2 linked regions of the Drosophila melanogaster genome follow. Changing the gene in region 1 together with any one later gene gives a genetic interaction. Each region holds a gene or a part of one and is shown on either strand. Other genes may lie near its edges.

The links.
Region 2: of yem (region 1) and BRWD3, changing one suppresses a phenotype caused by changing the other (phenotypic suppression), as found in Drosophila melanogaster (one study listed by BioGRID).

What each region holds. Positions count from the first base shown.
Region 1 is NT_033777.3:29,117,830-29,124,662, reverse strand, and holds yem (yemanuclein), read left to right. Parts: upstream 1-1,783; 5' UTR 1,784-2,461; coding exon 2,462-2,701; intron 2,702-2,756; coding exon 2,757-2,978; intron 2,979-3,046; coding exon 3,047-3,866; intron 3,867-3,926; coding exon 3,927-4,074; intron 4,075-4,140; coding exon 4,141-4,380; intron 4,381-4,442; coding exon 4,443-5,781; coding exon of another isoform or gene 5,782-6,078; 3' UTR 6,079-6,333; downstream 6,334-6,833. Other genes in the region: Atg14 (Autophagy-related 14), read right to left, coding at 6,550-6,704, 6,767-6,833. UniProt on the Drosophila melanogaster protein: May play a key role in egg organization. May be a transcriptional regulator having a role in chromatin remodeling in concert with Hira, a histone chaperone. Involved in chromosome segregation by affecting kinetochores function in the first meiotic division.
Region 2 is NT_033777.3:24,317,355-24,322,031, forward strand, and holds the start of BRWD3 (BRWD3), read left to right. Parts: upstream 1-1,645; 5' UTR 1,646-1,760; coding exon 1,761-1,803; exon of another isoform or gene 1,804-2,054; coding exon 2,055-2,113; exon of another isoform or gene 2,114-2,237; coding exon 2,238-2,267; exon of another isoform or gene 2,268-2,428; intron 2,429-2,662; coding exon 2,663-2,722; intron 2,723-3,313; coding exon 3,314-3,560; intron 3,561-3,621; coding exon 3,622-4,429; intron 4,430-4,508; coding exon 4,509-4,605; intron 4,606-4,669; coding exon 4,670-4,677. Other genes in the region: Nab2 (nuclear polyadenosine RNA-binding 2), read right to left, coding at 1-487, 542-767, 861-902.

The sequences.
Region 1 (6,833 bases):
GTGTATCGCTTTATTTTTGTGTGCGGCTTCTGTCCATTTGAGATGAAAAACTGGCTGCCGCCTTTAATAGATGAATTACCAAAAAAACACACAAGTTTTCATAGAAAATGGGAAACCAATTTGGGTTGGCAAGGCATTTGGGGCCACATGTTTCAAGGTCGATTGCCGTAACTCCATTTTGGTGTAGGAATTTCAATGTCTGGGAGTAGAGTTTATCATTCAAGCAGTGCTACGGGCAACACTCTCAGTAGCTAACCTTTTTTTCTTGCAAAGAAACTTGTAGACATGATAAGAAAACGGGTGTTCGTTTTGATATCTAACCCATTTGCATAATTTGTAGTGTAGAAAACTGGTTTAAACCTAAGTTGTCCTTGCATCGAGTGTTTACTGTGTTCACCTTGGACTACGTCACTTGAGATAAAAGAAAGCAGTCGCAGTTCTGATCTTATCTTATAATGGTAGTCTCTTGTTTCCCATATGAACGATTTCCCCTTGTTGTTTTTTGGAACTACAAATGTACAAGGCCCCGTAATTTCGTAATGAAGCAGTATTACTCACCTTTGCTTCGGAGCCGAACGATTCTTCCAGAGATGTAACAAAGGAGCTCCACTCTTCTCGTCGCTTTTCCTTTCTTTCTTAAAGTTCCTTTATTGTCTCATGACACTTTTTTACGAGCGGCTGGGGGCTTTTTGTTTAGCTGGTTTCCTGGGACGGAGTCACTACTCCGGCGAAAGTCACCGGACCACTGAAAGCGGGAAGCCTTTGTCGGAGCTCCGTATCCCGTACGTTGCTCTTTGGACGTCGGTCACTTGCATTCGTTGGATAAATATGTACATACATACATAAAAGAGCTCGAGTGGGGCTGCAAGCATAAAGGCAGCATAAGTGTTTATGTGCTAGTGTTTGTGTGGTGCCACTTGGGGATTGGGGGTGGGGGAGTTGGGGATTGGGTTGGATTGGATTGTGAAAAGAGCAGCACGGCACACTTTTGTTAATTGCACAATCCTAATCGTTTTCACCCGATAACGAGCACTGGCCATTCCCGTTATAATAACACCTTGCAGTTTCGACCGAATTCGAATTTCTGTGCATGCAACTCTTTTCGTTTCGCTTGTTTTTGTTGTGGAGCGGGCGCATGAAATTAAGCCCCCAAGCTCACGTACTGCGACTCACTTGCACTTGCGCTAATTAAACGGCGAGCACTTGACTTTCTACGAAGTAAACTCCTTCACAATCGAAATAATACTGAATCGCCCCAAGAAAATCTGCCCACCACCCGCGGCCCCATACTCTGAACAGCTGTGCCGAACAGTGCTGCACAACGGCCCGTTCTGGTCAAAACAAAGCAGAAATGTGTGTGGAATGTGGCACTGCACAGGGATGCACAAAAGCTAGTGCGAGTGTTGGCCGCTTTCAAGCCAGATCTCGTTACTTGTTGGAAAGTTTTAGAGCCGCGTAAGTTATAAAAAAGTTTACATTATATTTTGATTTTGGGTCCTTTTTAAACAATTAAGCTTACAACAGCATAAGCCACCTATATATTTTACGTAACCTATCAACTTGGTAGCTCGAAACTTTACTTTAAAAATGAGCTAGATGCCAAGCTAATGAATTTCTAACTAACGGAATTTTGGAAATACATAGCACCCATAACAACTAAATATTGCCAAATGCAGCCAGCCGCAGCAAGTCTCGGCTTGTGCTGCGCGCAGTGTGAACGGCTCGGAGTAATTTGCGAAAACCGCGACCAGTGCTGCGCAACGCGAGTGCGAAAGCCAAAAGCAGGGTCGGATCTTTGGTGCGGGGTGGAGCGGAGAGAATGTAGCGTTGAGGATTTTAACAAGAAACAATTTAAGAATCGCGCTCCTGGCCGTGCGAAAAGCGCCTGGTCGAATCGTTTAAATGTCCCCTTTGGTAGCGTCGATTGCGTGTGTTTAATCCCCGGTGCGCTGCTTTTACAGACTGTGTTGTTTTCGTGCCGGCAAGCCAACCAATTTGAAACCCCCCAAAAAGTTTCCACTTTTTCATTCCCCCAGAAAAGTGACAATTATTCGTGGCCGTGGTCGGCGGATGCAGCTGCAAAGCGGGCGGCGATTAAAGTAGTGCAATCCGGCGCAGGTCCTCGCCATTTGTTTATGTTGATAAAGCAGTGTTTGTGGGGCGACAACAAGAAAGTGCAGCTCAGAGTGAAATTGCCACGGTTATTAAGTGGTTGTGGTTGCTTGGTGTACGTGCAGAAAACCTAAAACAGACATCCCCAGAAGAAGAGGAAGCAGCGGAAAAGGAGGAGGAGGAGCATCAGCAGCAGCGACGTCTCTGTTGTTTTTGTTTGGCTGCGAGAGAGAGAGAGGGAAAGAGCAACGAAGAACACGCGGCTCTTTCGAAAAAAAAGGGCGGGAAGGCCCTTTCGGCTCAAAGGAAACCCTATCCCACTGAATATCCGTAACTCTGCCCGCCGGAAATGTCAAAGGGGGGCGAGCACAAGCGCGTCACCCTCACCTCGATCATCCAGGGCGATGCGGGCTTCTCGCGCTTCGGCAGCAACATCCTGGAGCCTGATGCTGCGTCCGCTGCACCCGACAACAGCTCCAAACCCACGACAAAGACTGCCAAGTGCATCCGCATCAAACTCGATCTGTTCGAGACCGATTCGAACAAGTATCCCGAGTTTAACTACTCCCGGCTTTTGTATTTGGAAAAGGTAAGAGTGTATAACTCAGTTGGAGGATCGCTTTCTAAACCCTTGCAATCCGTAGAAAAAGACCAAAAAGCTGAAGCAGGTGAGCACTACCAATGGCTCCGCAAGCACTGATCCCTTTGCCGACAACGATGACGATGTGGCACGGATCGTCAAGGAGCTGGAGGCCAAGTATGGCAACTCCTATGCCACAGGCAGGGGGAAGAGCAAAAAGGACGACTACCGGGACATTGGAATGGGCTACGATGAGTCGGACTCATTCATCGACAACACGGAAGCCGTAAGAACAAGAAATATTTCCGACGAATGCACTGAAATTATTTACCTTAAACTCTATGTTCTGTCCAGTACGACGAAATCATACCGGAGGAGGCGGAAACTCTGGAGGGCGGCTTCTACATCAACTGTGGCGCACTGGAGTTCAAGAACCTCACCAAGAAGTCCTACACCACTCGAACAGATGCCATCATCAAAATGCCAGAGCGATCACGCAAGCGCATGGTCTCGTCCAGCTCGGAAAGCTCATCGTCATCCTCGGGCGATGATGACGAAAACGATGATGGCAACAATGAGGAGGACGACGAGAGCGATTCCGAGGACGACTCCGAGGAGAACGATGAAAGCGACTCCGAAGACGACTCCGAGAGTGAAAGTCTTGAGGACGAGGACTCTGCTGCTACAGCCAAATCCAGCAGCAAGTACAAAGACAATCATCAAGCTAAGCGGGCCAAGGTCATCGTTACGGGCAAGTCCAAACCAAGCTCAAGTTCTTTGACGAGTGGCAAGAAGCCGCCGACTAAGCCGATCACCACTTCCTCATCCTCAAACTCGCCACGACCCAGCACGGTGGAGATTTCGGACACGGAAGACGGCCAAGACCCTATCCAGACTCAGCCATCAAGTCAGCTTCAGTCCCTGCCGCAGAGTCAGGCCCAGGCGCAAGCTTTAAAGAAGGTGGTTAAGACCACAACGGTCAAGGACATGCTAAAGGCCAAGCGAGACAGCTTCCTGAAGTCGCAGAGCGGCACGGCAGCTGTCAAGGGCGTCGGCAACGGCGAGCTGAAGTGTGTTTCCACCGACGTGTCCAGCAGCGATAGCAGCGATATGGAGTCTGAGCACGGCCGGGCAGATAGGCAGGCCGGTCAGCATGGCAAGGATGGGCAGGAAAGTGAGTTACATATACAGTATTAGTTGGTTGAAATCACCCTTTCACGTGTTCATTTTTAAGATCTTCGCACCGCCGACACTCTGCTCCCCACCACATTGGATGCGGACATTGTGACCGCAGTCAACAGCTTCAAAGAAGCGGTGAAGAGTCGAGACATGTGCGGCAAGAAGTTTAATCTGGATGTGAAGCTTTCGCCACTACTGCTTCGGTGAGTTTGCAGCCGATGTAAACATCAAGTACAGATTTAAGGCTTATATCCATTAACCTACACCAGGGTGTACGAGGCGGTGCTGTGCACGGACCGCAACGAGCGCAACATGGTCTTCTCCCACATCGAGTATCAGCTGCAACTGCCCAAGTACTACATGCTGCGCAAAGGGAAACAAGTGCGGGCGAAGGAGGAGAAGAGGAAGTCCACCATTATGCTGGAGAAGCTGCGGCGGGCTGTAGCTGTGGTCATGCCTAAGGCGGTGGCCAACTATGAGACGGAACTGCGCACATTTGCTGAACAGGCGTAAGATTGTTGTTAAGCGAAATAACGATTAGGTTCCTTTAGATTATGATTATTATTTTCAGAGCTGCGGACGTGAACTCCGAACTGCCGCCCAAAATGCCGCGTAAGAAGTTCCAGTGGACCAGCGAGCTACGCCATCTGCTGTACGATGTGTACCAAGCGCGTTGGACGTCCTACGCTTTCCTAGCCAAGCGCAAGGAATCGTTGGAGGAGTTCATCAATTGGTATCTCAAGGAAAAGGTGGTGGAACTGTGGCCGCCAGGCTGGATGCGTTTGGATGAGTTGCAAAGGGAAATAACACGCTACAAGAACGCCAAGCTGAAAGCAAAGGAGAAGCCAAAGGCACCGCCGGCGTCCGCATCGCCCAAGCCCGTTGGAGTTGTATCTGCTCCTGAGCAAATGCCGCCGGCAAGCAGCTACCTAAAGGCAGTGGAGGACCCTCGATCTCGAGGTAACTCCGATACGGACTCAGCTACAAGTGCCTCCTCCAACAGTCTGAAGCGAAAGCTGAAGGAGATGCCCAAGCAGACCAGCAAGCCGCCAAAGAAAAAGGTGGCTAAGCAGGTACCGCTGCAACCGCAACTTACTCCGCATCCGCAATTCCAGCTGGCGCCGGCTGCCACGGCGGCCGTCAGTATACCAGCCATTAGCAATAACAACAACCACCTGCCCCACCTGGACACGCTGCTCTCCATGCCGAGCACCTCGGCTCAGGCAGCAGCACTCAATGCCGCCGCCGTAGCAGCCGCCAGTACGGTTCTGGATCTGGCATCCCCTAGCCGGAAAATTGACCTTAACACCAGCAACAATTTCTACAATCTGATCACGGCCGCCTCCCTGGCAGCCAGCGGGAATCCCAGTCCGCATTCTGGAGACGGCCAAGCCAAGGTGATTGTGGGAGCTCGGCCCTCTCCCCATGTGATCAACCTGGATGACTATCAATGCACCAGCGATATACTTCAGACGTCCAAGCAGCTAGCTGCCACCACCACTGTCATCACCGCCATCTCAAAGGCCGCGCAAACGACGTCGGTAGCCAGGGAAAGCAGCAGCGAGTCGGATGGCGTTGAGATTGTGGGAGTTTTTCCTGCCTCTAAGCCCCAAAAGAAAGTCCAGTCTAAGCCCAAGAACAAGACTCAGAACAGAGGTCGGTCGTCTTTGGGTGCGGTGGGGCAGGTAAATGGATCCCTGGGCTACAGCGCGAATAACATGTATATCTACAATAGCCCAAGAACGCTGGGTCCAGTGTACGATCTCACCGATCCGCATATAATGAAAACTATGTCAAATCTGAAGGAAATGGAAAAGCAATTCATTCAAGCGGCTTTCTCGCCGAACAGCGTCAAGGGCGCAAGCGGAGGAATGGGATCCTCAGCGCCCAGTACGCCCACGCGCCAATGACATTCGGGATCGGCCGCACAGCAGCCCCTTCCGGCTGCTGTGACGGCCTTTTACAACCAGGAGGCGATGGCCGCCGCCATCGTGCTCTCCACGATGAGCCACGCCTCGCCGCGCTACGACCTGCTGGCCAACGGCTCCGTCTCCATGTCCGCCGCCCAGGTGGGAGCCTCTGCCAACACACTGCCACAAGTATTCGTTAAACCCAGCCTGCCGCAGCCCAGCGCTGGCGGCGATGTGGTGACCACGACTGGAGCTGCTCGCCCATCCACGCAACAACTGCCCACAAAGTTCATTTAGCTAGGGTCACTCAGCTCGTTCCCTTGCGATTCTAATCTAAGATTCTAGTGCTGATTCTAGGTAGGTTTCATTCGCAGCTGTGTCTGCCGATTTTCCAATTATTGCACCAGTTTAATTATTGTTTCTCATTGAGTCGTTTACCTACTAAGTCAGTGTACTATGCAAGCATTAATAAAGCAAATTTATATATATTTATTTATAGAGAACCATTTTTATTAAATAAAGGCGAATAAGTTATGTAATAGAAATAAATCCAAAAGGCGCATTTTCTTTACACACAGCGAATATATATGTATATATATAATTGATACAAAATTAGTTCTGTAAACCAAAGGATAACGCTAAAACCAGCAACTGCCGATAAACACCGACGTGCTGTCACAGAAACGATTACTTAGTCTAATTTGTAAAAGATAACACGCGTGTCTCATGATGATATAGCCGAAAGATCGGACGTCTGTTGGTCTGCGATCATTTGATCCAGCGCAGCACCGATGTGGCCGCCATTCGCACGAAGGCGATGGTAGACTGCTGGTTGGCCGCCGGCATCAGATTGGGATCCGCCAGCTCCGGCTGCGGTGTCAGGCTGGGCACCGCCTCCCAGTCCATGCGCAGAGAGTTTTCGTCTGGAAAGGCATCAGCATCAGTTTGAAAAGATTATTCCCCTCAAATTGCTAAACCAACTCACCCTCTGACTCCGATTCCGTGGCGGTCTCGATGCCGATTAGTAGGGAGTCCACTGACTTCATGAGTGG
Region 2 (4,677 bases), 4.8 Mb from region 1:
TGGTCTACAGACTCCTCCCTCGCGCTCAAGTTCAACAGATCCTCATCATATTCATCGCTTTCATCCCCGATCTCGCCAATCTGGCGTAAATGCTTCTTGGCTGCATGAATTTTCTTTTGGATTTCGGCCAGCTCAGCGAGGTCTTTTTGCCGGTTAACACCGATAGTAGTTGAGATGATCTCAGACACAGCGGGCACATCCAGCGCCCTATTGGCCGATGCATCCTCATCCTCGATGGACTTGCGATTTTTCTTTTTGTGCAGGATCTCGTCTTTGGCACTGAGATCAATGTCCATGGTTTTCTTTGCCTTCTCGAGAAGCTCTTCGGCAAAAACATCCGTGATGGAACTGACAATTGGCATGGCATCTGAGGAACTTGGCTGTGGTTCCGACAGCTCATCTCCGGACTTTCGGTGCGGTCGCTTATCCTTCTTGGATCCTTTTTTGTCCTTCTCCTGACCGCGAGACTTGCGCTTCTTGCTGGAAGCTGAAAAAATTGGAGTTAGTGGGTGCTTAAGTATGATGAGCATATCCATCATACCACTGGATGTGGGGAGTGTGACCTCTTGGAGCTTTTGCAGCACTTCGTGCAGCCAGGTGACAAAGAGGTCAGTTTGATCGCCTAGGAATAGATTCAGCTCGGCGTTCATCTGCTGTTTGGTGCGCTTGTTGGCCACCATGACCATGACGTAGTCCGGCAATTCATCGTCTATAAAACCGGCCGATCCTCCGGTTCCCAGCTCCAGCAGCTTTGCCTTTACGGCGCTCTATTAATGAAGTGCAAAAATATATATAGTATTGGAGTATCCAATCCGAGCGGTATCCATAACGAGTTCATTGATTTTTTTCCAATGACTTACGCGCATCTTCTGACCAATCTCGCTGCCCAGATTGCACTCCATGTTTGCTGGTTTATCTATCGCCTTTTTCGCTGTTTATTCGCCGCGAGCATTTATTATTTACGCTTACTTTGTGGCTACACTCCACTTTTTGTTACATTAGAAAATGGCAAAACCTCCCAAAAAAAAAAAATATCGCAGCTGCTCCGATATTCATAACTAGTGGTGTGCGTTTGACATTAAGGGTATTCACGTTTAATTCACACGTTTTATAATGTATATATCGATTTTCTATAAACATAGCTTTAAAATAATAAATAGTTACAGAAATTTCATTTGAAATTAAAATGGCAAATTAAAAACTTCTGAAATTTAAAAATGCTCCTGGCCATGGCCATGAACTGAAGTGCAACATAACTTCAAAATAATCAACACCAATGGGACAATTTAAAAATATAAAAAGATTTCACTTGTTATTCATTAAATCATAAGTCTAGTTATCAAGAATTTGTGTAGTAGCTATTAAATTACATTCGAAAATTAAAAGCGAATAATTGCAAACAGTTTATTTAATCACATAGCTAAATATAAATTTCATAATAAGCTTAAATTCCAAACCAATGGCTACGAATATGTTTGACTGAGAATTAAAATTCTCAATTTGAAGTAAATATCTTAGATTGTAGAATCCTGCGAAGCATTTCAGTGCATCATCTCAAATTCAAATACGAAAATTGGCTCCTTCGGCTAAGACTCGATACCCATCTTGTGAGCCCCGCCACCAACTATCGATACGCAAAGGCATTTCATTCGGTGGGAATGGCAATCGAGTGTCACACGGGAAGAAGAAGCTGCGAAAAGAATTTTAGAAGAAAGCAACTGCAATTTTGTCATAATCGGAGCTGCAATTCGCAATGAATAATGGAAACTAGACAACCCAGTTCCGGTGATGATCTAAAGCCAGGTGCGTACCGCCCGGTGGCGCAGCGAGTGCGTCCAACGGGGCTACCAAAGGCAGCCCCTTTGACTTTGTGAAATGTGTGTCTGTGTTTCGCTCGCCCTTCGAATCGAATGGCTGCGTTTTTTCGACTGCGTTTCGCCAAGCGAAATTCACGGGCCCCTTTGGCCAGATATATCTGGAATATTGACGACTCCCAGCGAGCGCATTTTCGACAACTTGTTGCACTAAAACCCGTGAAATCCTCTATCTTGCAGAGCTGTACTTCCTCATTTCCAAGTTCCTGGCCGCGGGACCGCTGGAGGAGACGGCGAAGGTGGGTTGAAAGCAGCGCTCGCGCGAGATCGCATTGGAATCGTATTTCGCGCTAAAAGAGCGGAATTTCGTTTTGTTTACAAACATTTACATTAATTCTGAAACTAAATTCTATCCAACTGTAGGTCTTGATCCGGGAACTCGAAGAGAAGAAGGTGAGTTTTGTTGGTGCTGCAGCTGTGTTTTTGGCACAGATATTTCGGACTCGAATTGAGAGGGGGGCCAAAAAAAAAATAGAAAACCGCGTTTGTTTATACGCTTTGTTTTGGTTTTGTTGTTGTTTCTGCTGCCGGCAGCGAACGACGAAAAACCCACTTGTACGTCCGCTTGTCTCAGAGTTGGGAATCAGACTGAATTGTGGATTTGCTGGGGCCACGTGAATATATAGTCCATTAAAAAAAGAAGAGAAAAACATGAAAAAAGAAATGGAATCATAGGGATGCCCCCGCGACGTCATCGTCGACGTCACGGAGTGCAAGTGATAAGAGTCATACATGCATGCATATATATTTACACCCGTCTATATATACGTACACCTTTCGATTCCCAGGTTTTGCCGCGTCGTCTCGATTGGCAGGGAAACGAGCATGAGCAGACCTTTGAGGAATTGGTGAGTGTTTTCATAATTAATCAATTAGCTTTTCAAAGTTATCGTTTAATGCCTTTTGATCGGCATTTAAGTCTTGCGTAAGTGTGCGTCTGCTGCGGCATTTTCCGTCTCAGTCGTTCGCTCGCCTTTGTGACGTCATCGTGTCAGGGAATAGAGAAAAAGTTGCACATCAAAATTCAAGTTGTTAATTTAAAAAACATTACAACTAAAGACATCAATCATTCTGACTGTTAAATTAACAAATAAGTAAGCAACTATTTAATTAAAAAGGCAGCAAAAAATTGCAAAAATTCGTAAAAGACTAAAGTGGAAAGCAAAAATTCTAAAACCCTCGTAAAAATTGTAAATTTTGAAAAATCTTAATTTTTTAAACAAATGCTTTGTAATTTAGTTTTAACAATTAGCTGCAACCAGCCGACATTTTGGTTTCTCACACATACACATGCCCATGCGCACAGACACATGCAAGCAACCACCACTTTGCCTTGACTTGTGCGCGAGGGAACGAGACAAGCATACGTTGTTGAAGCTATCGCACCGTTTATCGCCCAATCGATAGGAATACGTTAAATTTTGATTTTGAATTCGCAGGAACGAAAGTACAAGCACATTGGCGCCAATCACTTGCTTGAAATATGCAGTCGTCTGGGTCCACTGGTGGATCGCGAGCTTCCGCCCAGTGTTCCGGGCATCAACTCGCTGTTGGGTACTGGGCGCCAGAACCTCCTGCGCACCAAGGAAACCGTCTACTGCCATCGCTCCTTAAGGGACTACTGCACCCGCCTGAATGGAGTCTCGCTGCCGGATTCGGTCCTTACAAAGCCGACCCACAACTTAGGTTAGTTGCATGGTAGAGTTTTATTCGCATATTAGAGACTAACCCATTTATATTTCCAAAGATCGCGTTCTAACTGGACGGGAACACGGCGGGGAAGTCCGTCGCAAGCTCCTCGTGCCCACGGACCTCTACCGCCGAACAAAATTGCTCCGTCGCACTGTGGGCCACCTGTCCTCAGTGTACTGTGTTCTGTTTGATCGCACAGGAAGATACATCATCACCGGAGCCGATGATCTACTTATTAAGATATGGTCAGCGGCAGATGGCCGCCTGCTGGCCACTCTGCGAGGCGCCTCATCCGAGATTACAGACATAGCCATTAACTTGGACAATACGATGCTGGCTGCCGGGTCATTGGATCACATACTAAGAGTGTGGGACATGCAAACCACATCACCCATCGCCGTACTGTCTGCTCACACGGGCATGATAACTTCGGTTAACTTTTGTCCGTCGCCACGTAGCGATCTGAAATATCTGGTGACTACCAGCACAGATGGATCGATCGCCTTCTGGCAATACTCAACGCCGCGCGGGCAAAAGATCACGTTTGCCCCGAAGCCAACGCAGTATCATGAGAAACTGCGGCCCGGACAAGCTCAGATGATGTGTACCACCTTTTCGCCAGGAGGCATTTTTCTGGCCGCTGGGTCTGCCGATCACCATGTGCGCGTCTATATGATGGGCGAGGACGGTCCGAAGCGAATATTGGAGACGGAAGCTTACACAGATGCCGTGGACTCGGTGCAGTGGTCGCATCGTGGACTGAGATTTATATCGGGGAGCAAGGACGGCACAGCACACATCTGGACGTTTGAGTCGCAGCAGTGGAAAAGTTCCAAACTATGCATGACGGAGCGTCTGGCCAGGTGAGTGCGATTTTCTTTAAAATGTTTCTAGCTAGTAAGGAATTCTCTGAAAACTAATAGCTTTGTAATTAAATTGCAGCTGCCCGGAACCAGAGGAGGGAAAGAGGCTTAAGGTAACCATGGTGGCTTGGGATGCCTCGGACCGTTATGTCATCACCGCCGTAAACGATTTTACTGTAAGCATCCGTCTTAAAACGTGCTAAACATTTACTTATAATTAATAATCCCATTTAAAAACAGATAAAAAT